Regions from separate parts of the Mus musculus genome. Here regions 2, 3, 4, 5, 6 and 7 are each reported to be linked to region 1. Evidence: microRNA targets listed by miRTarBase, many of them from high-throughput screens and not tested one by one. Region 1 holds a microRNA gene; each other region holds the end of a gene's coding sequence. Distances are from middle to middle.
What was found. Region 1 holds the annotated microRNA mmu-miR-10b-5p (UACCCUGUAGAACCGAAUUUGUG, at 2,571-2,593, opposite strand). A microRNA usually pairs through its seed, bases 2 to 8, with sites in the 3' UTR of a target mRNA and lowers its output. Matches are read on the target gene's strand: a 7mer-m8 pairs with bases 2 to 8, a 7mer-A1 pairs with bases 2 to 7 and ends in A, and an 8mer does both.

Region 1 (4,066 bases):
GTGACAGCAGGCCCCGCCTGCACCCGCAGCTTCGCCTCAACCTGGAGTGCAAGAAGGGATAGGCCCAGGGTCCCCACTTCTATAAGGTCGTCAGGTCCGTATGGTGGTCCTTGGCCATTGGCTGCAAATGCTGGCCCGGGGCAGCTGAAGAGGAGCAGGAAGATGAGGAAGAAGACCTGCCCTTGGTGTTGGGCAGTTTGTGGTCTTTTTTCCACTTCATCCTCCGGTTCTGGAACCAGATCTTGATCTGGCGCTCAGACAGACACAGGGTGTGAGCGATTTCAATCCGACGGCGCCTGGTCAGATACCTGTTAAAATGAAATTCCTTTTCCAGTTCTAGGACTTGCTGTCTGGTGTAGGCCGTCCGGGAGCGCTTGGGCTCCCCGCCGGTGTAGTTGGGGTTCACTATGAGACAAAACATACAAGACAGCCAGGTCAGAGCCCGGCCACTAGTTAGGCCCCAGGCTTGCCTCTGCCCTCACTTCCTGGCGCGTCTCGCAGCCCTCGGGCCCCCCCTGTGCTCCAAGCTGGCCAGCTTCCTCCCTCCCGCCCTCTCCCTAAACATACACACACTCCCACCCAAGCCCTTCCATGCACACACTCCCCACGCTCACAGGTCCTCCTCAAAGGTTCTCCCTTGCCACTGGCCCACCAAGAGCTCGGTATCGCCAACATTTTGGAAAGGTCCTTGTTTTGCTCTGCGTTCCCTCTGCTGTGGAAATGGAGTCCTCCCCCCACCCCATCCCCATCCCCACCCCCTTTTGCGCCCACAGCCAAGCAGCCAGCCACATGGTCCCGGCCTGCTCCCTCAGCTATAAAAATTTATGGAGAGAGTAATTGCGGCGCCCAAGGAAGCTGCACAAGCCCCTACCCATTCGCAACCCCTGGGGTGGGGGGTGCAGGCCAAAAGATGCAAGGAGTGGTGCGGGAGGGCTGTGAGGTCGCTGCCCCCACTCCTTACCCGAATTCACGTGCACCTTCTTCATCCAAGGGTAGACCACAGCGGGCTGCTTGAGTGCTGTCCCGGGGGGCGGCTGCTTGGGGCCGGTGGGCTGGCTGCAGGCCCGAGCGCCAGGCAGGGGCGCAGGCGGGGGCGCTGGGCACCGCTCTCCCGGGGCACCGTAATGACTTCCCGGGCCGCTCGGCTCCTGTCCGTGACCCCTCGCGGGCAGCGCTGAGCCAGGCCCGGGCCCGCCGCCTCCGAAGGGTTGCTCGCCGAAGTCGGGCCGTGGGTAGAGCCCCGAGGGCTGGAAGTCGGCGCCCTGTGCACCGCTGCCGTAGTAGTCGGCTCCCTGCTCGCCTAGGTAGCCACCCTGCAAATATTCCTCGCACGGAGGAAACTTGGGGTCCACGTACTTAGAGTTCACCATATACGAACTCATGGCCATTAATTTCAGAAGGTAGAAAATACTAATTTTTCTCGTGTTGTCTTTTTTCTCCTTCCATTGGGCCCTCCTACTTGCTGTCAACTGAATAAAGTTGGGCGGCCATGTGACCAGGCCAGCCAATAGGAAGAAAGCATGTTTATCACCGGGTTGGTGAGCATCTCATAATTTTCACAAATTTAACTAAATAACATACGTGTAATCAAGTGACTTGCCATGCCACATTTGAGAGTCCCTGACAGATGCTAATAGAGTTCTAATTCTATCCCCGGGGTCCCAATTTCCGGCAGGTAATCTCGGCTTTTGTCTTCCACTGACTTTGCTAACCTCCCATGCCCTCCTTACTCACCATCGCCTGAAGCAGCCCCCAGAATGGACATAGTTCAAAGAAGAGTGAATTCTCCTACTGGGGTGCAAAATAAGGAAGAATGAGTGTGGGCAATGTGGCCTCCGAGTTGGGTAGAGTCCTAGGCAGGCAGGCAGGCTGCCCGGCCAGCTGGCAGGAGTCCTGGACTCTGACATACAAAGACCTGTCTTGGCTTTGTCTTCATCAGGGTCACCCAAAAGTTACCAGAATCTGGCGGACCTGAATTGAGTTAGGCAATGAGTAACCACTATGCTTTTCTGCCAATGCGCAGGCTGGGGTGTTTCTAGTTGAAGTTGGATCTTTCTGCAGGAGGCCCTCACAGTTCTGAGTCTGGTGGCTGAGGGGTTGGGTCATATTGGGATGGTGGGGAGGGGGACCTTAACCTTGCCTAAATGTACCCCAACGGTCTCCGATGGCCTATCTTTCAGTTTGTCTTCTTCCCACACAAGGGCAGGTGAGCCCCATTTGGGTACCTTTGTGTCTCATGCTCCTTCAGAGCAGGGCTTCTGCTGGAGCTTTCTGGCCTTTCACCTCACTCTCTAATACCCTAAAACCTGGCTCTCTGGCTTTACACTCAGACAACCACTTGAGCACCTACTGGAATATCTATAGGAGTTTCTCCAGGAAAAGGCTGTACAATTTCACCAGGCAAAGTCGATCATCCTGGAGTCTAAGGTAATGAAAAAGAAAGAGGTGGCTTGCCGGCTGGGCTGCCAGTACTCTCCGCGCCTCAGTCTCTGGCCATGTCGGAGATATATGAAGTTTTTGCATCGACCATATATTCCCCTAGAATCGAATCTGTGACTATGTGGGTACCACACAAATTCGGTTCTACAGGGTATATATAGACAACGTTACAACCTCGGGTCCTACCCAGAGCAGACATTCAGGCAGCTGCCAGACCTGATCTCTTCAGCACAGCCACCAGGAACTCACCAAGCCTGGCTTTCAGAGATGGTGCAGGTAGGCTCGGTGCATTTCTAAGTATTGCTGCTCGCTACAGCAATGAGTTCCCTCATCGGCTTGCCAGGATGGGGGCCACCAAGTAGCTGAGCAGCCAGGACCTTCTTCTTCTTAAAAAAAAAAAAAAGAAAAGAAAAGAAGGGGAGTTTTTTTTTCACCCCAGAGATGGCGGCTTAATTGCCCCTTCTCAGAACCCAAATCTCCCGCCCCCTTATCAAGTGGTATTTCCCAAAAAGAAGCAAAGGCCCTCAGCAGCAGAAAGGGAGTTTTGAAAAAGGCAAAAGGAATAGTCTTCACCAGAACCTAAGCCAAGTGAGTGGTCACAGCTAGTCCTCCTAGAATTCGAGCATTTACCTTTCTGGGCCCTCAGCCCCGCCGGACTTTCGGATCCCGCTGCTGCTGCTTCTGCTGCTGCTATGACTGCTGCTGCAGACCCGGAGGCAGGCGCTGTTTGCGGCCACCGAGCCTCCCTGGGCTGAGACTGTCGAGCTAATGGTGAAGGGCAGGGCGAGGGGTCATTCGAAATCATTTACAAACATATCACAAAGTTTCATTATTTTTGCTTTGCCGACAGCAGCACAGAAGAGTACAAAAGTTCGCGAATTTCGCCGCCCCAGCGCCTCCGCTGTCCTGGGCTTGCCCCTCAATTCAGGGCATCAAGAGCCCAGATGCACTCTGGGGCTGGGCTGATTTCAGGGGCAGAGGGATGCCCTGGCCTGGGCCGAGCTTATGGATGCCTGATAACAGATTGAAGATGTCCACATTTCTAAGTATTGTTTTGATCCCTTCCTATATAATTCGAAAAATCACTTTCAAGCCCCATGCCTTGATTTTGATGGGGTGGGGCAGGGAGACTCCCCTCATCATATCTGGCAAAATTAGGTGCTCACTTTGACCCTGTACTTTGCCCTTCCATGCCCTCCCACCATCTTTCACTTCCACTATTTTGCAGGGATTTCCCAGGTGTCAGTTCTAAAAAAAAAAAAGGGGGTTAAAATCCGTTTGTTTAAAGACTCTCCCCAGTTTCTCCTAATGCCAGCCCTTTCACCCATGGACACGTTGACAGGCCTTTCTGGGGACACTGGGCCTACCTCTGTTTTACCCAGACAAATTGGGGAAGTCCGATGGGTTGAGTGAGGACCAAGATGAGTACACACATTTTCATATTTGTTAGACATTGTGACCTGCATTTCACCTTATTGCTCGACTTGTTCAGACAGGTCAAAGCCAACAAGTTATTGATGAACAAAAGCGTTAAATATTCACCTCCCTCTCAACTGCCCATACAAATGCTTTTGATCTCTCCGGCTTTTTGTGCTGTGGGCAGCTACAAGGCGCCAGCAAGCAAGCA
Region 2 (4,066 bases), 80 Mb from region 1:
CCATGACCCTGGCATTTGGGAGGGAGAGCAGGAGGATCAAGAGTTAAAGGGCATCCTCAGAGACTTACCCACAGGTCTGTAGCGCCACAGTCCTTGCTGTACCATGCAGATGACAAGTGACAGTGGCGAGCCTGCCCATCAAGATGTCAGCAGCCACTAACTGACGCCTGTGTCTTGCAGAACTGCTGGAACTGTGGCCGAAAAGCCAGTGAGACGTGCAGTGGCTGCAACATTGCTCGCTACTGCGGCTCCTTCTGCCAGCATAAGGACTGGGAGCGGCACCACCGCCTCTGTGGCCAGAGTCTACATGGCCACAGTCCCCACAGCCAGAGCAGGCCACTGCTCCCTGGAGGGCGGGGCTCAGCCAGGTCTGCTGACTGCAGTGTGCCCAGCCCAGCCCTGGACAAGACCTCAGCTACCACCTCACGGTCCTCAACACCTGCCTCTGTGACAGCCATTGATGCCAACGGGCTCTAAGCTACAGACTCCACCTGTCCTGATGACCCCTCCACATGGGAGCATGCTTGCACCAGTGAGCTGGCTATTAGAACAAGTAGCTGTTGGGTCGTCAGCAAGAAGTGAAGTTGGCAGGAAGCATCCAAGAGGCACTCCACAGCTTCTCTGGGATTTGCCACGTGTCCTTGGAAGAACTAATGTATCATTCTCTGCACACAGGAAGTAGCTTGAGCTGCCTCCTCCATGGCTTTCCTGAGGTTCCTCTTCCAGCTAAAGCTGGCATAACCAGCCCCTTCTCAGTGTATACACCAGCTCCCTCCGACTCCTTGCATTAGCATATTGTCAATAGTGTCCCACACTGTCCACAGTAGAGGCCTGAAGACTGGTAGCAGGCTTAGGAGGAGGCCCTTCCTTCCCCTGTCTTCAAACAGTTCCTTGAGCCCCATATCCACCCTCGAGTGACACTGATTGGCCTAAAAGAGACTTGGATAGCACAAAAGCAGTACTCAGGACTCTCTCCTGAGCTGCTCAGAGCTGTTAAGATGCTCAGAAATGCAAGAAAGAAGTCACTGTTTCAGTAAAATCTCTAGTAATGATAAAAAATTAAATTAGTCTTCCCAAGCATCATGGATCATTTTGGACAAGATTTTCTAACTTGGCTGTCTTCGTTAGTTTGGAACCCACCTCTTAACTCCAGTGTTTTTCTTGATTTTGCTTGTGTAAAAAATAATCTCCATCGCATGGATCGGTCTGAGAGAGGATGGAGCCATTGTGCTAGTCTTTTCTCTAAGCATGTTGGCCAAACTAAAATATTCCGTGGATCACCTTGGAAATGCAGAGCCTCTGCCACTGCTTGACTGTTTAAAACAGTCGCCTTGTTGTATGTGTCCTTCTCTCTGGGACTGCATGTCTGGATCCTTGGGGATGTCTTGTGAGTAGGTTCTGTTTGGCACCTAAGCAGTGCTCCTAACCCTGATGGGATTATTCGCACCTGGTTTTGACACCACCTCATAGGTTTATTATCAGGTGGACATTTGAGGCATCCTTTTTCTGTGCTCCGTGTTTATAGTCTCCCTCACAGCTCAGAGTTTGTGAAGAATGGGAACCGTTTTTGAAGAGCCTGACCTGTTTTTTTTTTTTTTTTTTTTTTTTCCCATCTTCAGGAACTTTTCCAATTATCTGATTCTCCAAATAGAATTTGGAGACATCGATCTGGTCATTATTGGACCTATTGATCAGGCCAAGTACTGCTCACATCTTTTCCTTGCCATCTAAAGTTTATTAGTTGTCAGCACCTTGCATCGGCCACTCAGTATACTCCAGAATCGTTTTGCCCTGTGCAGTCAATTGGGATAAGTCATTGCCTTTGATCCTGTTGGCTTTTGGAAGCTGTGGTCACTTTTTGTACAATGAACAAGTCTGAAGAACAAGTCTGAATACTAACACTTGCCCCATAAAAGTATGGATTTAGTGTCTTTGCACACAGTTAAGGCTGATTTAAAAATACTGAGTTCCTATCTCATTGGAACAAGGGTTCTCAGACTTAGAAAGTAGACCTTTAAAATCATGTTATTTTAGCATAGAATACCCAAGACCCACTGTTTGCCAGACAGCTTAGTACAGCCTGGCCTCCCTGGTCCCATCCCATCAGTCTAGTGGGGACAACTTTGACTTACTAGATAGAGTTAGTACCAGACAGCACTTGTCCATACTCAGACACAAAACTTCGGGCAGATCAGGAGCTTCTGTGAACATGAGAATGTCTCCTGGTGTGCCCTGGTCAGTTACTCAGTAGTAAAATGGATGAACACCCTTTAAGTGTTAAATTTTTTTGCCACAGAACTACTCCAGATAGTTGGAATAAAGAGCTAGAACCAATACATTACTACTTACCTGGTTGGAGATCAGTTTGTACAGCAAACTGGGTTACAAAATCTAGCCTACCTTTGTGGGCTGTGTGATTGGCCTGTCCGATTCTGAGTTTCTATAGTGCTGTTGGGGACTGCTTTGCTTCTGTGTCCTACCCAGGTTTGTCTACACACTCGGACAGTACTTTACACTATATAGTTCAGTTCTCAGACTTGTCTCTATCTTGCCTCTGGTCAGCATCACTCTCGGGGTTTTGTTTTTGGTTTGGTTTGGTTTGGTTTGGTTTGGTTTGGTTTGGTTTTTCGAGACAGGGTTTCTCCGTGTAGCCCTGGCTGTCCTGGAACTCACTCTGTAGACCGGACTGGCCTTGAACTCAGAAATCCGCCTGCCTCTGCCTCCCAAGTGCTGAGATTAAAGGCATGCACTACCATGGCCCGGCTTCAGCATCACTCTTACGTGACATCTGTTTAGGACTTTTCAGATTTAAGGAGTTCCTTTCTGCAGTTCTCCAACTCCTCCCTAGGCAGGAGCAGCAGCAGTAGGAGCTGGAGCTACAAGTGATTCCTGGCTCACCGCTTTGTTTCTAAGTCTGCTTATATGAGCCACCAGGCTGGGAGTGAACATAGAGCTTCAGGCTGCTCACAAGTCTGGCCTCTGCAGTAACTATTTGAGGAAGAAAAGTAGTCAGGGCTTGGTCATTCTGTACCAAGTGAGGGATAAAATTTCAGGAAGTAAATAACAAAAGTAGCCAAACTGGGAGTTCTGCACACCAGTCCTCGCTCCAGCAAATGAAGACTTGTTGAAGCTAGCTTGGGACATGGCTTATTTGGTAGCATGGACTTCATTCCCAGTGTGGCATACACCAGCCATGGTGGCACATACCTGTAATCCTCTAACACTTAGGAGGTAGAAGCAGGAGGACCAGAAGTTTAAGGTTATCCATAGCTGCATAGCAAGCCTGAGTTACAGGAGACTTATCCCACAGAGACTCATTGAAGGGCCCTGCAGCTTCAGATTGGCTCATGCAGGGAGGTGGAGGTGAGGGCGCAGGCTGTGAGTGGCTTTCTCCTAAGGTGCTAAGTTATGTGCAGCCATGGGTCTCCATGGAATAACCTGTCTGGCCCCCCGAGGTCTATCCAGGCATTGGCTGTCAGTCTTCTGTAATGTAGACTCCTTTACCCATTTGATCCCCAGGGAGTGCTTCAAATCTTGATGTCAGCTTTACCGTCATTTCTTGTCACCTTCTCAGAGAGAGTGAAGACATTTTTTTCTGAGTGGTTCTGGAAACTATCTCAGCAGGTGTGTGAGGCCTCAACACAACTGCAAGTGTGTGTTAGTGGTTCTCCCTAGAGCATAAGGAGTGAGCAGATGGCCTTCGTTCTGAAAACTGCAGACAGGATTGTGGGTTGAATAAACCTTTACAAATAGGACACGTCTTGGAGGCTTACTTCAGAACTGGACTGGAACCAAGGTTTCCAGGCTCCTGGCTCAGGAGACTAAGCCAGTGTACTTTGATGAATGTTAGCTATTTGCAGAGAACTGGGTGGTGGCATGTTTGAACCAAATGTGAGAAAAGCCAGAAGGAACTGAACTGGCCATTGTGGACCAGATGGCCAGCTGTGGAAGATCCTTGATCCAGCAGCTGCTTAGCAGACCCTGGCCACTCAAGTATATTCCTTTAAAGCCAAAATGCTGACTACCTGCTTCTGCCTCATGTTGACACCCATTTCCAAAGATGATG
Region 3 (4,066 bases), not on the chromosome of region 1:
CAGTGTGTCCACCAAAGAGGCAACCACTCTGCCCTAGCTGAGGTGTTAGGCTAACAAAGCATGCATCCCCCAGCATTAGCTCAGCATGCTCTCAGCTGCAGAGAAGGGAAGGGAAGGGAAGGGAAGGAAGGGAAGGGGTAGGCCAGTGGACTAATGAAGCGTATTCCCTCTAGCTCCGTCAAAGTAATTAAAGATCACTTGTGTTGAGGATACAGAGTGAAGAGCAGTCAGCCTTTGGTATGCCTGTCCCTGATGTGGGAGGAAGGAGCTCTCTGATGATGTCCAGGTTTGGTTTGAATTCTTCATACAGCTTCGTGGGGGTGGGCAGGCTGGATTCCAGAATGCTTTTACAGGAAGGGGTGGGAGAGGAAGCCAGCTCCAGCCTCAGTTGGACAGCTTGCAGGGAGGCCTTCTGCTCCTGTAGTTGACTTTTTCTGAGACTGTCTTCATGTTCCAAAGGTTGGCTTTGGAGCTCTGCTTCTGCTTCCTAATGGCCCCTGGTGTTTGCACATGGTATGTATGTGCACATGGTATGTATGTGCACATGGCATGTATGTGCACATGGCATGTATGTGCACATACATGCACCTGCGTGTTACTCCTCAAGAACCATCACCTTTTTTTGAGACAGGGTCTCTCACTGGTGCCTGGAACTCACCAGTTCAGCTAGACTGACTAACTAGCAGGTCTCAGTGGTCCTTCATCTTGACCTCCTCAGAACTGGGATTACAGGTGTGTGCCACTACTTTTGGCTTCTTATTTGGGTGCTTGGGGTGAGGGCTCAGGGATTTGAACTCAGGTCCTCATACTTGCATGGTAAGCACTTTAACAACTGAGCCATCTTCGTAGCCCCTTTATGTATTGTTGAGGTTATCAGACAGCTCAGGCTAGTGCTATGTATTGGGGGCTGGAGACACAATTCAGCAGTTAAAAAGTACTTGCTGTCTTTGCAGAGTACCCAGGTTTCATTCCCAGTTCCCATGTGGTGGCTCACAATTGTAACTCCAGTTCTAAGAGATTTGACGCCTGTTCTGACTTCTATGGACTCTTGCACCTGCATACATGTAGTACACACACACTTAAGTGTACCCCCCCCCCCCACATAAGATTAAAAAACCAAAGCTGGCTTTTAATCCCAGCACTTGGGAGGCAGAGGTAGGTGGATCTCTTAAATTTGAGGTCAGCCTGGTCTAAGTTTGAGTGAGTTCCAGGATAGCTAAGGTTACACAGAAAAACTGTATCAAACCAACCAAACCAAACCAAGCCACCCACTGCAGCACAGTACAGCTCACTACCAGGACTGCATTTATTATAACAGACTATGAAAGTGCAAGGCAAGAAAGAGGACTGAGGGGCAGTGTAAACAAACGTGGGGGAGGCACAGGCACTCCTGAGGAGGCTCAGACGCCCTCCTTCCCAGGGACAGCCTCCCGCAGAACACCCAGCCCTTGGAATTAAGGCAGTTAGGGTGTGAGCACCTCTGTGCCTTTATTGGTGTTATTTTTGTCTGTCCCCTAACAGCTGCCCATTTCTATCCCTCCTAGCTGGACACTACTGAGCTTTTTCCACAAGTAATGCTTTTCCACACGAGGCCACCTAGCTCGACAACTTTCCTTCCAGGGACAGTTCTAGCCAAGTACAACTACCCCAGAGAGTGTGGTTTCTTGGGCACTGCCCACCCCCAGGAGCTGCCAAATGTCCAGGCTACTCTGTTTTAACCAAACAGAAATAGAACTCCACACTTAAGTTCCACAAGCCCTTGTGGCCTCACTGAGCCCTACCACCAAGTCTTTCTCTACTCTGTACTATCTCTGTTCCCTCTGCACATGAGGACTCCACCTCTGCAGAGCCCTAGAAGCCTGGATATGGTCTGTGTTCCTTCCCTGCAGGCCATACATAAAGTGCTCAGAATGAGATCCTTGCACAGAGTTGCAGACTCCCACTGTAGAGCCCAGGCAGCATCTATGACCCAACCCAAGAACCAAGTAGATGTGCCTCTGGCTTCTGTCCCATCTTCCTTCTTGTGATGCTGCCAAGCAGTCGAGTAAAAAGCCCCTAGACATAGTATACTCTTTTCAGCCTTCCACAGCCTGAGAGCAACAACAAAACCCCCTGCTAGGCACTGGCAACAATCATGAGAACAGATTTGTGGCCAAGTAATAGGGAAAGCCTTATCTTTTGATCTTACCTTTTTTGCTACTACCTATGAAAGGACATAGCAGGCATATCATTTCTCCTAAGCCTCCAGTAATCACTGGACGGACAGTCACATGTGGTGCCCAACCCCTAACTCTGACTATTGCCGCCCCTTATGCTGGGAACCGTATCTACCCCAAGCCTCACCACACACCTGGGTAAGATAAAGCAAAGAGGCCAGGCAGTGGTGGCGCACGCCTTTAATCCCAGCACTTGGGAGGCAGGGGCAGGTGGATTTCTGAGTTCAAGGTCAGCCTGGTCTACAGAGTAAGTTCCAGGACAGCCAGGGGGCTACACAGAGAAACCCTGTCTCGAAAAACCAAAAAAAAAAAAAAAACCCCAAAGAGGAGGACCCGGGCAGAGGGGGACTGGGAAAACTAGATTCCAGGAAGAGGCTTAGTACTGAGTCTCAGGCTTGGGGCTTAGCTGTGTTCTCCCAGAGGCTTTTTTTTTTGTTTTGTTTTGTGCATCAGCCCTAGCCTTGCACAGGCTAGGCAAGTGCTCTACCAGCCTGTGAGCCCTGTGCTGGGGAGAGAAATGTGCCTTGTTAGAGGGAAGGCCTCCTTGCACTGCAGATTCATCAACTCAAGTGGGGTCCAGGAGCTGGCTTAAGTCTCCCCTTCCCATCCTGTCTAAACATTTCCATGTAGGCCAGAGTCACACAGCTACACCAGGACACCTCTCATCCATCAATACTTCTCAAAAGCTTACACAGCTAAACATAGGAAGGCACTAACTTCCCAGCAGCTCCCTCTGCTGGTAATAACAAAAACTGCAGATTCCTGCCAATCCAATTTTTACCTCAAAAAAAAAAAAAAAAGTCGGAGAAACTCTCCAATGCCAAGGAACTACAGATAAATAAACATATACAACAGAGCAGTTCTCTTGTAACAGGGGAAGGGCCAACAGAGTTACTAAGCCCATCCAGACAGCAGGGCCAGCAGAATGGTCCAAGTTCAGAGGTTCTGAAAGCCACAGGCCCACTCCATCATTAAGTTAGATTCCTTGCTGTAACCTAAGGAACAACCCACTTGGCGCTTCCCAGCTGTATTCTTTGAGATTCCTCCTGCAAGCCATAAAGTGCTGCTCTCTGCCTCTCACCATACCCCCAGCACAGCCTGAGTGAAGGAGTTCGTTCTTTCTTCTCCCTCCTCAGGAGGAGTCAGAATGTCTGTAAATGGTTTTCTTAGCAATCAGCATAAGAACCTCAGGAAGTTTCTCCTCCCTTATTAAAGTGGCTTCCTGAAACTGCCCCAGTGGGAACCTGCCGACTTCCACCTATCACCTATGACCCAGACGGGGGCCTCTGACATGAGAAGCACCAGGTGAGGGCTCCTGTAGGCCACTGGCCTCCCCAGAGGTCAATGCCTCCAGTGGTTCTAGGCTGGCGGTGATACCCAGTGCACTGAGTATCACTGTGAAGGGCCATTGGGGCCATCGGCCCATCCTGGAGGGCTATGGCTACTGGAGGGTACAGGAAGAATCCCCAAGGCAGCACCAGCAGCAAGAACACGCGGAAGAAGCAATAGGCTTAGGAGGAATGAGGTCCAGGTCCTCATCATCTGGAATCTCATCCAGGTGATATCCATCCTGCAGCAGCTGCCGGCTCACATCCTGGTTCACCTGCTAAAGGAAGAGGACAGAAGTGTAAAACAGGATGCGAGGCATACAGAGCTGCTGCCTAAAGGCAGGTCCCTGCTCTACCTAGCCCCAGGCCTCTGCACATCCTGCATTACAGAAGGACGGCCCTTTCTGTGCAGTGTCTTTCCAGCAGTGAGGAACTCCCCAGAGGCTCACTGAGAACCAGCCAGGCTTCTCTTTAAAAATCTGTCACCCAGATATCCATATCAAGATTGAAGAATATGGGGCT
Region 4 (4,066 bases), 57 Mb from region 1:
TGCAGCTAAGCTGCTGTCAGCAGCTGCACAGGGCAAGAGGCAAAGCATGGGCCCCAGGGCTGGCTGATGGGGACAGCAGTGAGGGAAAGAGAGGCAGAGCCAGACATGCTGTTTTCTAGATCGAGGGCCCCAGGAGATTTGTTATCCAGTTACTTCTCACCAGCCTTCTTCGTGCTGCAAACTTGGAATAGCATGAAGTGGCCTGAAGGGGGTTTTCTGGGCTGGGCCACACAACCTGACTCATCTGATTTCCTCAAAACTGCTCTGTAAGACATGGTGACTCCTGGCAAGCATGTATTGCTTTTCTTTCCTTGGTTGCTGCCACAAGAGCAAGCTTCCTCTAGACTTGACATAGCCAGACTCTGTTTTCCCTGTTTCACAGATTAGTGAGGCAATGGTTTAGTCACACAAGGCCATGTAAGCATTGCACAGTAATTATCTGAGGCAGGTAATACCTGTTGACTTTTTTTTGTAGTGCTGTCTGGGATAGTTTCCTGGATAGAGCCAGTGTGGAACTTGAGATTTGTTGGGGTTGAGACCCTTTCCACTACAGCAAACCAGCTACCCTGTTCTTCAGGGCCCCTCACCTGCCCATGCCCTTCCCAGGCCCCAGGATAGGTGAAAACCTGGGTGTGGTGCTGAATAGCTGTCATCCCAGAACTCAAACCATAGGAGGATCTGGTCATCTTTAGCTACAGAGTGAGCTCCAGACCAGCCATGCTGTGGCCTCAGTGAGCTGTCTCCCATAAGTCTCTAGCATTTAAATACTTGGCCTTTAAACAGTCTTGGCTGTTTGGGGAAGACTAGGAGGTGGAAGCCCTATGTGTTGCTTGGCTCACTGCACCAGTATCACATAGCATGATCACAGAACAGAAGTAAGATGTCATAGTACAGAGGGACAAGAGGTAGCAAAGATAGGACCCATGTTAGGACTGGGGATTGGGGCTGATGTGAAGAATTCAGGGGAACACGTGGACATGTTCTGGCATAGAAAAGCAAGTTCGGGTCCCTTAGGGATACTGACCCCCAGTGGCTCTGCTCAGTACCAATCAGTGGCAACTTTGAATACACCGCTTGTTCTCTCTCCCCCTCTTCTCCTGCTCCCCCTCCCCCTTGTATTAGTTGCTTGTCTGTTGCTGTTACAAAACACCATGACCAAAGCAACTTATAAAAGGGTTTATCTGGGGCCTATGGTTCCAGAGTATGAGTCCCTGGTGGCTAGATGGAGGTGGCAGTAGCAGTTCATGGGATGAGTGGCCTACAGGAGCCACAAGCAGCAAAGCTGACTTTGAAATGGCTTTTGGAACAAAGCCAGGTATTCAAATGCTAGCAACTTACGGGAGACATCTCATGAAGACCACCACAGCATGGCTGGCCTGGAACTCACTCTGTATCTAAAGGTGACCTGATTCTCCCACGGTTTGAGTTCTGGGAGGACAGCCATGCAGCACCACACCCAGGTTTATAGGGTGCTGGGGATAGACTCTCAGGGCTTCATGAATGCTGGGAAGTACTCTACTAGTTGAGAGAGTTCCGTCCCAGAATGTGGGGCATTTACTTCTATTCCCATGAAAGAATGTGATCAAAAGAGGACTCATACTGATTTTCAGGATCAGAAAATGCTATGGGTGCAGTACTTGGGTGGACAGTGATGCGAGCAAGTTGGATGTGAGGAGAGGTTCAGGAAACGGATAACGAGCTGAAAAGTAAGTAGTAAGTGGGAGGCCATGTCTGACACCCTTAACGACAGTCCACAGGTACTTACGGGACAGGGCCTCTCTAGAAAACCACTCTTTAACAACATGCATAGTGGCTAAAAGCAGAAGCAGCTCTGCTGGAAGTTGGAGGCTGAAGCCAGAGTGCATCTTTGCCAGGCCTGTTCTTCAATGAGAGGAAGAAGACCATTGGCTTCCTAGGGACTTTGTGTGTGGTTATGCCCATGATAATAGGTCAAATTGCCACCACCTTCAGGAGGCCAGCTGGGTCTGCTTGACAGACTTGGACTCACATCTTGGAAAGGAGGGGTTGGGGAGGGAGTCATGGAACAGTTATGTGAGTAGCCAGGCAACCCCCACTATCCAGCTGTATGCAATTCTGTTCTAATTGCATGTGCTTTAGGGTCTCTGGAAGGTGTTAGACTCTGTAGGTAGGAAGGATTAGGGAAGCTGGCTCCCTCAATGAAGCCTTGGGAAGACACCATCCCTTCCGGCTGCAGACCTTCCAGTGTGGCTGCTTTAAGGTCACCTCTGCTCCAACCCATAAGCCCTCATCCACTGTAAGTAACCCTATATAAACTATATAAGGTTAGCCTGCATGGACTTTGGAGTTGTTGGTTTGTCTTTGAGACCTTAGGCGAAGGGGCAGACATTGAGTTTTGGCAACAGCTCATCACACTGAGAGGCCTTACCTGCTAACAGTAACATACTGGGTACTGAGGTGTCATTGTGTAGAACTGGGCATGACCACAAACAGCACACTGTAGCCAGTGGAGCACATCTCTTGCTTGGCAGCAGTTTGAAGTTTCCTTCTAAAGTTTCAAACAAGGGGCTGGACTGAAGTTCAATTTCCATCACCTACATACATGGTGACTTACAGCCATCCATACAACAGATCTATGGGATCCAATGTCGTCTTCTGGTACACAGACATACACAAAAGCAAAGCATTCTCTCCAAAACACAACAAAACTGAAGAACAAGCCCAAAGCGTTTTCAAGTTTCAAACAAAAGCAAGAAATTCTTTAAAAATTTTAGATCCATGTATTCATGTGCATGTGTCTATGTGGGCTCGGATGTGTGTGCTGTACCACAATATGAATGCAGAGGTCAGAGGACAGCTCCTGTGAACATGTGCTTGCTGGAGAGTGAGTGCAGACTGGCAGGCTTAGCAGTCAGCGGTTTTATCCACTGAACCACCTTCCAGGCTTAAATTTCTCATTTGACAATCAAACTTATTTGCTTTATCTCAAATTCCACCTGGTGCACCTGTTTTTCCCTCCTTCGCTGGCCAACAGAGGACCTCATATTTTTGGCACCACACTCTCCCCTGGAAACACAAGGAAGGCCTGTAAATGGCACCTTACAGCATCTATAATTGATTCATTCTTTCTTTCTTTTTTTCTTTCTTTCTCCCCCCCCTCTCTTTTTCTTTCTTTCTTTCTTCCTTTCTTTTTTTTACTAAGGCACATGATGTTTAGAAATACTGAGGTACAAAATATAAGTTTCTGCATGAGATTTCTCGAGTACTTGTTTGGAAAATGATGGTCATTGATCGTCACCTTCCAGAAGATTCAGCTTTTAGCCTGCTTTTTCTTTTGGACCAGTTCAACCAGCAGCTTGTATCTAGCAATGCAGTCTTCCTGTGGGAAATAAAGAAAGAGGTGGTGACAGTTCTTTCTTGGGTCAGTGCTCCTGGTGCTGTCAGCTCGCTGTGACCTCTCTGCGAGTTACTGCCCAGTCCTAATGAAGAAGCCTGTGTTCATTTCCTTTACAATCTTCTGGGAAAGCCTAGTTGGTCCCAGGCAGACCTGGTCAGAGAAGATCTGCTGCAGGAATAGCTGAGGGTTGCCTATGGAGTGCAGTGTGGCGTCCCCACTCAGCTTGCTAACCCTTCTACCATGGGAACTCCCTCTCATCACATCCCAGTCCAGAGAATCCAAGAAACCTGGGGCTACAATGCTCTCATGCTTTGCTCGTGCTTCTCCCTGGTGGCTGCTGGGACCTTCCTATGCAGCACAGAACTAGCATGGACGGTACCTCATGGAGTGGGAAAGGTGGAGAAGATGGAAGGAAGTGGCCGCTATTTTCAGGTGGGCATGATATATATTTTAGAATCTATTCTCTTCCTGTCTAGATGATACCAACCCTATGGTACTGTAAGCATGTTAGTTCAGGGTCCAGGGCAAATGACTGCTGTGCTAAACAGTGTCCTTAATCAGGTACCCGGGACAGGATGGGTGCATCAGTGTAGGATGAGCATCTTGTGGTGAGTGCCTCCCTACATTCCACCATCACCCACCCATGCCTTCAAAGTATTAGCACAGAAACAGCCATGGCCACTCAGCATT
Region 5 (4,066 bases), not on the chromosome of region 1:
ACATCCTTTTAGTATCTTACCTTAAATACCGATTGATAGTCTCTTAGTTGATGTTAAAGAAATTGGAAGAAAGCACAAATGTGTTTTTAGCAAAATAAAACAGAAGTGCTTATGTCTCTTATAATCCTGCAACTGAGCCGTGGAATTGGTGGTGCTGGTCCCAGGGTTGTGATCTGCCTGGTCGGGAAGCTAGTGTCACCATCAGTGTCACAGAGTAAACCCTTTCTTTTACTTGCCTGTAACCCTAGTACTGGGTTTGAAGCTCCAGAAGGGAGTAGGAACATGGTCAGACAGGGAATTGAATGTCCCTGGCCTGCGTCCCACAGGGGTGAGGGAGAGAGTTTGCCTTTGTCATCTTGTGCAGAAAGAGGAAGTTCAAGAGTATACTCTAGCCAAACAAAATACAAGCTAAAGAAAGAGGGAAGCTGTGGGCTGCCTATCGTGGGGGAATGAACGCTGGCATGTAATGCGGAGGCGTTCCAGCATGACGGGCAGGTCCACCATAATTCCTCTGACTTGAATAGAAAGTTAGGAGGTCTTGGAAGAACTTTCCCTAGAATGAAGTAGTTACCGTGAAGCCAATGGTATGACTGGAAACATGGAATAATACTAAAACAAACCCCAGGATTCTCTGTTGGCTAGTAGAAAAAATTGTGGGGAAACCAACATCCATATGAGATTTTTTTGAGGGATCAAGTGGGCATCAAACTACAACAGTGTGATTTAAGCAAAAGTCCCGAGTTGGTTCCCCAAATCTGTTGTGGTTGGCCAGTGGCCCACATGTCTGGGTTCTAGTCTGGAAGGCATCTTGGAATCTGGAAGAGAAGAGGGAGCTAGGCGGCTCGAGAAAGATGGAACCAAGACAACCGTCTGACCAAGGTTCAATTTTACTATTCCAGACACTGGGTTATAAAAAGGGGGAGGGGCCCATTCCCGCCAAATCATCCTAGGAGTCCAGTTGCAGGTGACCACGTGTTGGCTCAGGAACAGCTAGGTGGCAGGCAGCCGCAGTGGGAGTGGCAGAACGATAGGGCGGTAGGTCCACCCCACGCTCTCTTCCTGCTAACAGTGAAACCTGAGCAGCCAGGTTTCAGGCTAGGGGGAGAGGTTACAAATGAGGACTAAGAAAAATCTGTTTTCTGAAATCATAAAGAGCTTCATTCCAGACTTGCAGGGATGTTCAACATACATAAATCAGTAAATGAGATCCACTGTATAAATGGACTCAATTCAAGAAAGCAGAAAGTAGATTCAGAAAATGCCTGTGGTGAAAACCAACAGCTCTTCATTATTAAAGCCCTGAAGACAACAGAAATACAAGGAACGTATTTCAATACAATAAAGGAAATATACAACAAGCCTGTAGCCAACGGAATGCTAACCGGAGAAAAACTGGAAGCATTTCTGCTAAAAATCAGGAAAGGGACATGGATACTTTCTCTCAGTACTTCTTTTCAGCTGAGTACTTGAAGTTTTTGCTACAGCAGTAAGGCAAGAGAAGGAGACAAGATGGATTCAAACAGGAAAGGAAGAAGTCAAGCAATATTCATTGGCAGATGATATCATTCTTTCTCTCTCTATAAAAGGCCCTAAATGCTACACTAGAAAACTCGTAGAGCTGATAAACACTTTCAGCCAAGTGTCAGGACACGATCTGCACATACAAAAAAACCAATAGTCTTCCTATAAGCAAATGACAAACATACTGAGGAAGAAATTGGGAGGAAAATCCCACTCTCAATACCTGCAAAATAATATCTTGGAATAAACCTAATGAATAAAGCAAAAGGCCTATACAATGAAAACTCTAAAACAATCAAAGAAGACCCAGAAGATGGAAAGACCACCTATGCTCATGGTCTAGTTTAATATTTTGACAATGGTCAGCTTATCAAAAAAAATTTATAGATTCATTGCAATTCCCATCAAAATTCCAATGCAATTCTTCACAGATTTTGAAAATAACAATCTTAAAATTCATATGGAAACACAAAAGATCTTAGGTAACCCAAACACCCCTGAACAATAGAGACACTGCTGAAGGGATTATCATACAGAGCCACAGTAAAAAAACAGCATGAGACTGGTATAAAAACAAGCTGACCAAGTTGAGATCCTCGAATAGAATTGAGGATCTTATCGAACAGGGAGAACTTCCAAAGATTTGTAGATCACTTTAATGATTCTCTCTATAGTGGGTAAAATACATCCTTGATATGAAGTCTACATTGGAATAAACTATATTTCTGGAAATTTAAAAATTGTACCATGGGCCGGGTGGTGGTGGCGCACGCCTTTAATCCCAGCACTCGGGAGGCAGAGGCAGGCGGATTTCTGAGTTGGAGGCCAACCTGGTCTACAGAGTGAGTTCCAGGACAGCCAGGGCTACACAGAGAAACCCTGTCTCGAAAAACAAAAACAAACAAACAAAAAATTAAAAAAAAATTGTACCATGATATCTTTTGTTTTGAAGAAAATATTCAAAGTTACCTGACTCCCTCTGTTTCTTTTCCACTGCAGATTCAATAAAAGCGAGTGAGATGCTTTCTCCCTAACAGCCCAATTTCAGCCCATAGTCCTAGGAAACTGAAGCAAAAGAGGCAGACAGACCTGTGGCTGCATAGATGCACTTTATTAGTGGCTTACTGATGGAGGGGTGGTGGGAAAATCAGCTGGGTCCTTACAAACACAGACATACTACTGGGCTAAGGCAGAATTTATTTCATCCTAGTTGAATGTACCTGGGTTGCCATAAGTGACTATCAGAACCAGACACATTCCAAAGTCCCACAGACCACTCTCACAGTTTATCCACTTAAAATCCGCTGGGAAACCGAGTGGAAGAACTTGAGTGATTCTGAGGCAGTTAGGATGGCTGTAGCTCAAGATGGTCATGTCAAGGTGAATTTATAAAGAATACTGTAAATACTACTAACTAAAGGGCAAAATAGGGCATCAGTTTTCTTTGGAATTGGAATTATAGATAGTTTGAGCTGCCATCTAAGTGGGAATTGAACCCAGGTCCTCTGGAAGAGCAGCAGGTGCTCTTAACCACCAAGCCATCTCTCCAGACCTTGCCCATTTATCTCAATCAAATATTATGTGTAGTCATTGAGGTCAGCTTCAGACCTTCCAGGCATCTGAGTTTTCAGATGACTGGGGTTGGCACAGACAAGTTTCCCCTCTGTGACAAAGCCAGATATGCCACTTTAAAGTGGAACAGAAAAAAAAAATGTTTATATACCTATAAAAATAAACACTTAGAGCCACTTAGGTGGTCACTGGGGAAGACCAAAGAAAGTAGCTGGCAGTTCACACCCTTCTCTTCAAGCAAATGTTATTGTTTGTAGGTCCGTGGTTGTGAGTTTTGCTCCAATCTTTCAATGCATCTCTGAACTCTCCGATCACTGGGGTTGGCACAGACCTGGAACCCCCTCTTGCTGATAAAGCTGAAGAAAAAGGAGAAGAAAGATTATAATCAGAGTTAATCTAGTAAAGGGGTGGTGGGAGCCCCATCCTCTGAACCTTCTGATTTTCCACTCAACAGTCTGTTCTTTCCAGGAGGTAGCTCAGCACCATCATCCCCTCTCTGGGGCCCCCTCTAGACCTGTGAGGGTCTCTAAGGACTCATGGAGTGACTCTGCTAGCTGTTTCCTTCTCTACACCCTGAAGTATCCCCCCTCCCACCTGGTGAGATCCAAGAATGGGTCTTCTCTGGAAGTCTATCCACCAGGCCATCTAAGATCCTGGAGGCTCCCCCTCCCCATAACACACAATGAGTGAATTTGACACTTACATGATGCCCGGCCTGGTACACCCACCACTGGTGGGAAAATAACCTATAAATCTTGAACACTGAATCCGTGAGTTATAGGACAGGCAGCAATCTGAAGAGTCTTGAAAGCCTGCAAGAAAACAAGGGGGCACTCAAAGGCCAGGTCATTGCTGGGGTGATGGTCCCATGGGGGCATAAGAAGGCCCCGGGACTCAGGGGAGGCTTCCCCTCACCCTGCACTCATTGTCATCTCTTTCTGCACCTTTGAGTGGGCCTAACGTGGACCACAAT
Region 6 (4,066 bases), not on the chromosome of region 1:
AGAAGGGAAAAAGAGGAGAGAATTGAAAAGAGCTAATACCTGGGAAATGAATGGCTATCTTAAGAGCCGTCCCAGTGAATGCTGTCCAGTAGAAATGCAATCTAAGCCAGGGTCATGTTTTCATTCTGAACAGAAAGGCCACATACAATAGGAATAATCTCAGAAATAGAGGCTTCCACTATGGCACTCTAAATTCTGTAAGCTAAATAATTAGAATAATTGATGATGACATCTTTACGATGCATGATCATGAATCTTTCCATATTATTGACTTCAATGCCCAGAAAAAGGAGCAGTTTGGTTAGGACACATCAAGGATAGATAAAAGGTTTGTAGATGCTTTTTCTGGAGAATAACCATTGTATTTGCATGGCTAGTATGGGTAAACTCTGAATTGAAGGGCCTTTAGAGATCTCAACTCAGGATTGATTCTTATTGTTGATATGCCTTTCCTGTCATTATTACATATTGTAATGATTCTTGCACATTAGCCCACAATACTAGGCACATTTATTGAGACTACTTAGCCTAGATGTTTATAGAAAAGTCTCTCTATGCAATATAGCTTCTCACAGTTCTAATATGCAGTCCTATGTTGAAGTTTTGTTTGTTGCTGTGTACTGTAATGCTGAATTCTGTATCCTAAAGTCTAGCTACCTCAAGATGACTGAATTCCCATGTATGCCAGCTTTTGTTTTGCACACCTTGATCCCCAATTTAAAACTATTGGTTGAATTAAAATGCCTACAGCCTGCAACTGAGCAGAAGAAAAGTAGACATGGCTTCAGTTTTTAGGCTTGGGATATGAGGCAGAGGCCCCCACGAAGAAAGGGAGAAAGGGGGAAGAAGGAAGAAGATACCCTGGGGAAGGGGGATAATGAAAACATGGTCATAAGGGCCTACCAGTTCGAGTAGGAGAGGTCTAGAGAGAAGATAGAAAATTATGTATCTGGCTTATTGACAGGGAAGTAGATAAAATAGCATAGTGCTATTAAGTGCTTTTAAGGCTTAATATAATATATAAATATAAAGGTTTTGTTTCTTTTATTTGGGAATTAAATGATCTAATATAGGGTAGAAAACCTCAACTAATATTTAGCAGAGCATTCCTAAACAAGAACCAGCATGTTCCATGACTGAAGCAGGGGGAGGGAGGAGGGGGGAGAAGGGAGAGGATAGGGGATTTTCGAAGGGGAAACTAGGAAAGGGAATAACATTTGAAACGTAAATAAATAAAATATCTAATAAAAAAGAAAGAAAGAAAAAAGCCTCTAGAGAGCATGTTACCAGACTCACCAAATTGAAACAAAATATAATGTTCTAATTATGTCTGTAGGAAATTGTCAGATATCACAAAAACCAAGGCTTAGCTGGATCATATCTCTGTCTATAATCATCAGTTATAAGCCAACATGTTTCTATTCCCTAATCAAGAAATAAAGTCATATTTTAAAGGAGCTTGGGTTGTAGTCAACCCCTACCAGACATGCCTAGTACATGTGTAGGAGTATCTCTTGCTGGGAGCGCAGTGGCATTGAGATAGTTGCTTTAAATAAACTCTCTATCAAAATTTCCAGGCATAGACATTCCTATGATGTAATCTGGTATAACAAAGCCAATACCACCATAAACTTCGATTTGGCAAAAGTTATCAATCTATATGGTGAGGGACCCATTTTTCTGACCTCATCTAATGTATTCTCCATGTAGTGAAGGTCACTAGAAACACTCATTTGTCTCTAAAATGAAACCACTGGAAAGCTAAAATAAGAAAACACTAGGCTCATCATCTCTTATATACTCTGGATACATTTTAAAATCTACATTAGATTCTAGTACAAAATAAGTACTAAACTATGTATGTGTATATTTGTGTGTTCCATTATAGACATATATGAATGTACACAATGTGTGTGTGTGTGTGCCTGCAATAATTTTCTCTATATATCTCTATATCTATATCCATATCCCTATCTATCTATCTATCTATCTATCTATCTATCTATCTATCTATCTATCTATCTTTCTATCTATCTGTCTATGACAAAGTTCAGTGCATCTGATAACTAAATTCAAACATTAACAACAAAAAATAATACAACAGAACATTGATTCTAGGAGGTTTTATTTAAAAGGCATGTTTCAGCTCTCTTGCCTCTGAGACACTAAAACTTCTGAAAGTGTCATTTGAATAAAAATCTGTAACTGCAGATCCAGTTTTGCCGATGTCTTCAGTACATTCACAATGAAGATGCTACACAGGATGGAAGTAAGGCAAGGGGGATTCACAGTGATAGTCGATACACAAAATCTAATTTAACACACACATTACTAAAGATGGAAAATTGACAATAACAAAAGAGCCACCCTTCTTTCTCTAAGAACATCAACAGAACACAAATGTATGTCTTTATACTGAGTTATTAATGTGACAACAAAATTAATATCCTGTAGCTCATTACCTGGCAGTGGGAACTCTAAAGTTGTTCCTTATTCCCAGCTGATAAGGCTATTGATGTTGTCATTGTACATATATTGTTTAAGCAACAATTTTTTGGACATACAGTCTCCTTGTATATTTCATGATCCTTTGTCTCTAAGTCATTCTGCCCTATCTTCCACAATATTCCCTGAGCCTTACATGCAGGAGTTATGAATACTAAAAGGAGAATGAGCACTCCCAGGGGTGAACCCCTGATCAACTACCTAAACAATGTGATTAGTCCTAAAGTCTTGAACATAGAAGGAACAAAAATTGATTCAGCCTTCAGCTGGTTTCATTATATATTCACAAATATATACATATACACATATACGTATATATAATGAAAATCACCAGAGAATAAGAAACAATCAATTTAGCCTGGCGGTGGTGGTGCATGTCTTCAATCCCAGCACTTGGGAGGCAGAGGTAGGTGGATTTCTGAATTTGAGGCCAGCCTGGTCTACAGAGTGAGTTCCAGGACAGCCAGGGCTATACAGAGAAACCCTGTCTCAAAAAACAAAAAAAAAAACCAAAACCAAAACAAACAAACAAAACAACAACAACAAAAAAACCAATCAATTTGAGACTAGATGAGAGTGGGGAATATGTGAGGAGGTAGGGAGGAAAAGTTGTTGGAGGAAAGAAATAAATGGGTTAATATAATTATATTTTAACTAAAACATATATTAAATGAAATGAACTACATACAATTTAAAAGTCACTACTTTCAAAACAAAAAGAAGACAGACACTTCATTTGAACTTAAATATTCTTTAAAGATATTGTTTTATACAATCATTAAACAAACACAAAATCAAGTTATGGGAATCAAATACAAATAAGTGAAGTGCTTAAGTTACAGTATCCATCATGTCTTACTGGATAAAAACATAACAGAATTCACATTACATCACGTTCTGCAGTAACTCATGAACTCTATCCATGCAGCAGAGGCTGGTCATGGTAAACAGAAAGTGCCTCCACTTCACAGGCTGTCTCCATTCCAACCCTTCCTTCTTACCATCAGGCAGTTTACACTCTGGGGTAGACGGCATATGAAGCAATTCCACAGTGGTTGTTCCTGCCTCTGGCAAGCTTCATGTAGCCATTCATGCCCCATTGCTCACCATGACTGAAAGAAACCATGTATCCCATTTAGTAGAAAGAACACAGGACAGTGCACTCAGTACAATAACTCCACGTGTAACCACTGATCCAGAAGCCTACTTAACTCCATGATCAGAAAATGCAAAACATCCAACTCTGAGAAACCAAAGTTATCTCAGAAAGGACTGTGCAAATCACAGCAGTGAAAACTCAGGATATTTTTCCACCCACAGAACCAACAATATCTCAGCTTTTAGAAAAATCAGTGTCACAAACATATTACTACTCAAGGAAACCAGTGCCTAAATCTGAACAACACACATACTATAAGTTGATTACCCAGCCATAGTGTTCAAAGGTTCAAGTGGTGTTCACAAAAGAGAAAAGACTGGAGTTCAATCCAAGATTCCACCTGGGGCTGGAGTTGGGTCTGTGCCTAAGAACAAGGGCTTTTTCCACAGAAAGCTTGTTCCT
Region 7 (4,066 bases), not on the chromosome of region 1:
AGGCCTTTATAAACCCTCTTGATGGAGCAGGAGGGTTTCTGTGGTATGGGATGGGGATTTGGGGACACCATGCTCTGCTTATCCCCCATGGGACTCTACGTGTTTCAGGGCTGTGAGGACATTGTGAGGGTGATATCCATGGACCGTGATTATCACTTTGAGTGCTACCACTGTGAGGTAAGTGTTGGGGTTCGGGGATGATGTGGGGAAATCGGAATTTGGAAGGGGGATTCTTGGAATGACTGGGCATCTGTGGGAGGGATTTAGGATACAGAAAACCAGGACACTGCAGTGACCTATGTCCAGTCTCTCTTGTCCTCTAGCTTTTCTTTCTAATCCTAGTTCTTTTTAAATCTGGAATCTGGCTTCCCCAGCCTCTGAACTGCTGGAATGGGGCTTGTCTCATGATTTCTGCTGCTGCAGCGACCCCTGGTGTCCAGAAGAAGTATTTCTCGGGTTTTCACTTCAAGTCCACCCTTTCACCCTTCACCCTCCCTGGGGCCTTACCACTCACTTGTCCAGTCACCCGGAGTCTCCCAGGATGGCCTCAGGGTAGGGAGCCTGGGTGGAAGTGAACCAGTTGCCTTCTTCCCTAGGACTGCCGCATGCAGCTGAGTGACGAGGAAGGTTGCTGCTGTTTCCCTCTTGATGGACATTTGCTCTGCCACGGCTGTCACATGCAGCGCCTCAGTGCCCGGCAGCCCTCTACCAACTATATCTGAGCTGACGTTACTGCTGCCACCACCACTGTGGAGAAACTCTCTGGCCAGCGGAGGCAAGGAGTGTATTCTGCAATCCTTGTGAAGAGGTCTCTGGGGAGGCCCCGAAGGCCAGAGACCCAAAGATCCTAACATTCCAAATGGGCTGCGGAGGAGGAACCTTCTGGTTGCCGGGAGAGTTGACTGGTGTTCATTGCGTGCAGCCTGTGCTACAGTAGATGGGATGTAGCACACGCAGGCGGGTTTCAGTACTTCCTGAACGCCAGATTATAATGTATTTTTCCAGTGTATGTTTCTATATACGTCACACAATGTTCTGGTGCTGGATCACATGAGGGCATCACAGAAACCACCCCCAGTCTGTTGTACCCTATGCATGGAGTCAGTGGAACCTTTCCCACGGGATCCTATCTTTGTCTGCGCTAAGGGCTGGAAGCCCTGGACTTTGTGATGAGCCATTTCTTGGCTCTCTCCCTAAGGACTAGAGAGCTCCCCGTGTCTGTCTGCTGGGACTGGGACCAGCTCTGGGGGACCTTGCTGCCTGTGTTGCCTGTTTCTCAGGGACCTGGGGAGGCTAACTGGGGCCTGTCCCTGGTTGCTGTTTTGCTCTTCTGGGGGAAGAAATGAGCAGGTTTCTGGATGTGAAACTTGCCGGTGAGTAGGATGTCCCTGAAGCATCAGGCTAGCCCCACTCCCCCTGTTTAAGTGCACTGAGCCTGTAGCCCAGCATATGTGGATACATTGTAGCCACGTGTGCCTGTGCACCTCCCTCCCTACTCCTCTTTTCTCAGGTGACTTACGCTTAGTTCCCTAGCAGTAGCCTATCTTTTGAGACCCCTTTTTAAAAGGGATCCTGCATTGGATCTGACCTGTTACAACCCCACCACTCAAGGCATTGGGGAAGCTGGAGAGAAGAAAAATAGGTTGACTTGGTTCTAGCCGCTTGGCTGAAACTTGAATTCCCCTTAAGCAGGATGTCTTAAAGCCAGGTCACTTGCTGGCTGGAACTCAAGTTCATTTGATGACCAGGTTGCCAAGAGTCCTGTCCCCTACTGAGTGTTCTTATAGCTGCCTACATGTTTTGTTCTTTTCATTGCACTGAGCATTCAGTGATTCCTGCCTGTTCATCAAGAGTATGTCAGAGGTTTGTTTGGTTTTTGGTTTTTCGAGACAGGGTTTCTCTGTATAGCTCTGGCTGTCCTGGAACTCACTCTGTAGACCAGGCTGGCCTTGAACTCAGAAATCCGCCTGCCTCTGCCTCCCAAGCGTGGGATTAAAGGCGTGCGCCACCACGCCTGGCTTACTTCAGAGTTATTAGCAACCTACATTTATCAACTTTGTGGCACTTTGTGATACAAATGTTCCCTGCCTCCTTGGGTGTCTTCCTACTATGCCATTATTTCTCTGACACTTAAGAAAGAAAAAGTTGAAATTCTAGCAGTAAATACAGTTGATGCAGACACTTTGTGAGTGTATTGTGGTTCTTCTTTGCTGTTCACTATGGCTTCAATCCTTGAAGCCTTATGCCTTGAAGATGTAAAGGGGCTCTATGGATTCGCCTTGGTCTGGCTTCTCCATTCACATTGTTAAAATGTGATTGTGTCATAAACAAGTGAGTCTGGAAATGACTGACCTGAGGACAGAAGACCCACCCTTGAGGGTTATTCTAAAACTGTGCCAGCCATTCTGGGAATTACATGGGCAGGGTCTCTTGAGTGCAGAAGCACACCTTTGATCCCAGCACTCAAGAGGCAGAGACAGGAGAACTTCTGTGGGTTCAAGGCCAGCCTGGCCTACAGAATGAGCTCCAGAACAACCCAGGCTACACAGAGAAACCCTGTCTCAAAAACCCAAATCAACAGCAACAACCCCCAAAGCAGAAAACAAACAAACAGAAAACAAAGGAAAAGAAAAGAAGCTGGGCAGTGGTGGCACACACCTTTAAGCCCAGCACTTGGGAGACAGAGGCAAGTGGGTCTCTGGATTAGAAGCTAGCCTGTTCTACTAGCAAATTATGTGGCAGCCTGAGCTACAAAACAAACCAAGCCAGCAAGCAAGGAAGCAGAAGGATCAAAGGCAGATGATGGGGAGAATAAACATTGATCAAACATTTTGTTTAAAACTCAAAAAGTGGTTTGAGAATATTTTTAAAAAAATTTTTTTTTTTTAAATTTTGTGAATGTTTTGCCTTTAAGTGCATCATGTGCCCATGGAGCTCTCTGAACAAGAGGTTCTCAGATCATCTGGTACTGGAGCTACAGACTCCTTCCTGTGAGCTGCCATAGATGCTGAGAATGCAACCTGGGTCCCCTGAAAACTCAACTAGTGCTCTTCGCTGCTGAGCCATCTTTCTAGCCCTTGTTTTAAATCAATCTCTCTCTTTCTGTGTTTGTGTGTGTATGTGTGTCAGTGTCATGTGTATGCATAGTTGTCCAAGTAGACTAAAGGAGGCTATCTGTCAGGCCCTCCGTCCAGGAGCTGGAGTTACGTGCAGTGGGAGGTAACCTTGTGTGAGTGCTAGGAGCTGAACTCATCCTCTGCAGAAGTAGTGAGAATTCTAACCTACTGAGCCATCTCTCCAGTACCATCAAGCATTTGATTTATTAATTATTTATTTTATATGAGTGCTGTGTCTTCACACATACCAAAAGAGAGAATCAGGTGGTTGTGAGCCACCATGTGGGTACTGGGAATTGAACTCAGGACCTCTGGAAGACCAGTCAGTGTTCTTAACCTCGAGCCCCTTATTTTTTTATTTTTATTTTTGGTTTTTCAAGACATTTTCTTTGTGTAGCCTGGCTGTCCTAGAACTTGTTCTGTAGACCAGGCTGGCCTCAAACTCACAGAGATCTGCTTGCCTCTGCCTCCTGAGTGCTGGGACTAAAGGAGGGTGCCACCACCACCCATTGCCAGGTAGTTTGGTTTTGTTTGGTTTGGTTTCTTTTGTTTGTTTGTTTTTTTGTCATCCCCCCCCCCCCCCCCAAGACAGAGTTTCTCTGTATCACCCTGGCTGTCCTGGAACTCACTCTGTAGACCAGGCTGGCCTCGAACTCAAAAATCCACCTGCCTCTGCCTTCCAAGTGCTGGGATTAAAGGTGTGCGCCACCACACCCGGCTTGCCTGGTTCTATTTTAAATTTTCTTTTTACAATTATTTATTTATGGGGCAGGGGAATTTACCTACCGCCACCTGCATCTAGAGGTCAGAGGTATACCCTCTTGAATTCTGGTCAAATGCCTTTACCCATGGAGCCATTTTGCTGGCCCAGCAAATTCTTTTTTTTTTTTTTTTCCTTTTTCCGGAGCTGAGGACCGAACCCAGGGCCTTGGGCTTGCTAGGCAAGCGCT

Region 2: miRTarBase lists Cbfa2t2 as a target of mmu-miR-10b-5p. Seed matches in the 3' UTR shown: 7mer-m8 at 2,633-2,639.
Region 3: the mRNA of Fam219b is a reported target of mmu-miR-10b-5p. Seed matches in the 3' UTR shown: 7mer-m8 at 2,500-2,506.
Region 4: miRTarBase lists Dnajc1 as a target of mmu-miR-10b-5p. Seed matches in the 3' UTR shown: 8mer at 563-570.
Region 5: miRTarBase lists Ccl9 as a target of mmu-miR-10b-5p. Seed matches in the 3' UTR shown: 7mer-m8 at 2,398-2,404.
Region 6: the mRNA of Cts8 is a reported target of mmu-miR-10b-5p. Seed matches in the 3' UTR shown: 7mer-m8 at 2,987-2,993.
Region 7: the mRNA of Ajuba is a reported target of mmu-miR-10b-5p. Seed matches in the 3' UTR shown: 7mer-m8 at 1,890-1,896.

Annotation. Positions count from the first base shown.
Region 1 is chr2:74,724,601-74,728,666 of GRCm38, reverse strand. Mir10b (microRNA 10b) reads right to left here and starts at 2,597; the gene lies at 2,530-2,597. All of the region lies in intron 1 of Hoxd3 (homeobox D3), which reads right to left. Hoxd4 (homeobox D4) reads right to left here. Exons shown (of 6, transcript NM_010469.2): 4 at 2,689-3,204; 5 at 962-1,791; 6 at 1-405. The coding sequence starts at 1,388. The coding sequence ends at 80.
Region 2 is chr2:154,534,704-154,538,769 of GRCm38, forward strand. It overlaps Cbfa2t2 (CBFA2/RUNX1 translocation partner 2), which reads left to right. Exons shown (of 11, transcript NM_172860.2): 11 at 181-4,066. The coding sequence ends at 477. Among named protein-coding and RNA genes, the nearest start is that of 1700003F12Rik, 12 kb to the right of the region's middle.
Region 3 is chr9:57,540,411-57,544,476 of GRCm38, reverse strand. Fam219b (family with sequence similarity 219, member B) reads right to left here. Exons shown (of 5, transcript NM_001166364.1): 5 at 1,290-3,822. The coding sequence ends at 3,658. It overlaps Mpi (mannose phosphate isomerase), which reads left to right. Exons shown (of 8, transcript NM_025837.2): 8 at 1-209. Among named protein-coding and RNA genes, the nearest start is that of Fam219b, 4.9 kb to the right of the region's middle.
Region 4 is chr2:18,213,968-18,218,033 of GRCm38, forward strand. Dnajc1 (DnaJ heat shock protein family (Hsp40) member C1) reads right to left here. Exons shown (of 12, transcript NM_007869.3): 12 at 1-3,358. The coding sequence ends at 3,290. Among named protein-coding and RNA genes, the nearest start is that of Gm39761, 19 kb to the left of the region's middle.
Region 5 is chr11:83,572,047-83,576,112 of GRCm38, forward strand. Ccl9 (chemokine (C-C motif) ligand 9) reads right to left here. Exons shown (of 4, transcript NM_011338.2): 3 at 3,797-3,905; 4 at 871-3,449. The coding sequence ends at 3,338. Among named protein-coding and RNA genes, the nearest start is that of Ccl9, 4.6 kb to the right of the region's middle.
Region 6 is chr13:61,244,637-61,248,702 of GRCm38, forward strand. It overlaps Cts8 (cathepsin 8), which reads right to left. Exons shown (of 8, transcript NM_019541.3): 8 at 2,111-3,617. The coding sequence ends at 3,518. Among named protein-coding and RNA genes, the nearest start is that of Cts8, 8.7 kb to the right of the region's middle.
Region 7 is chr14:54,565,587-54,569,652 of GRCm38, reverse strand. Ajuba (ajuba LIM protein) reads left to right here. Exons shown (of 8, transcript NM_010590.5): 7 at 109-177; 8 at 597-2,184. The coding sequence ends at 722. Among named protein-coding and RNA genes, the nearest start is that of Ajuba, 10 kb to the left of the region's middle.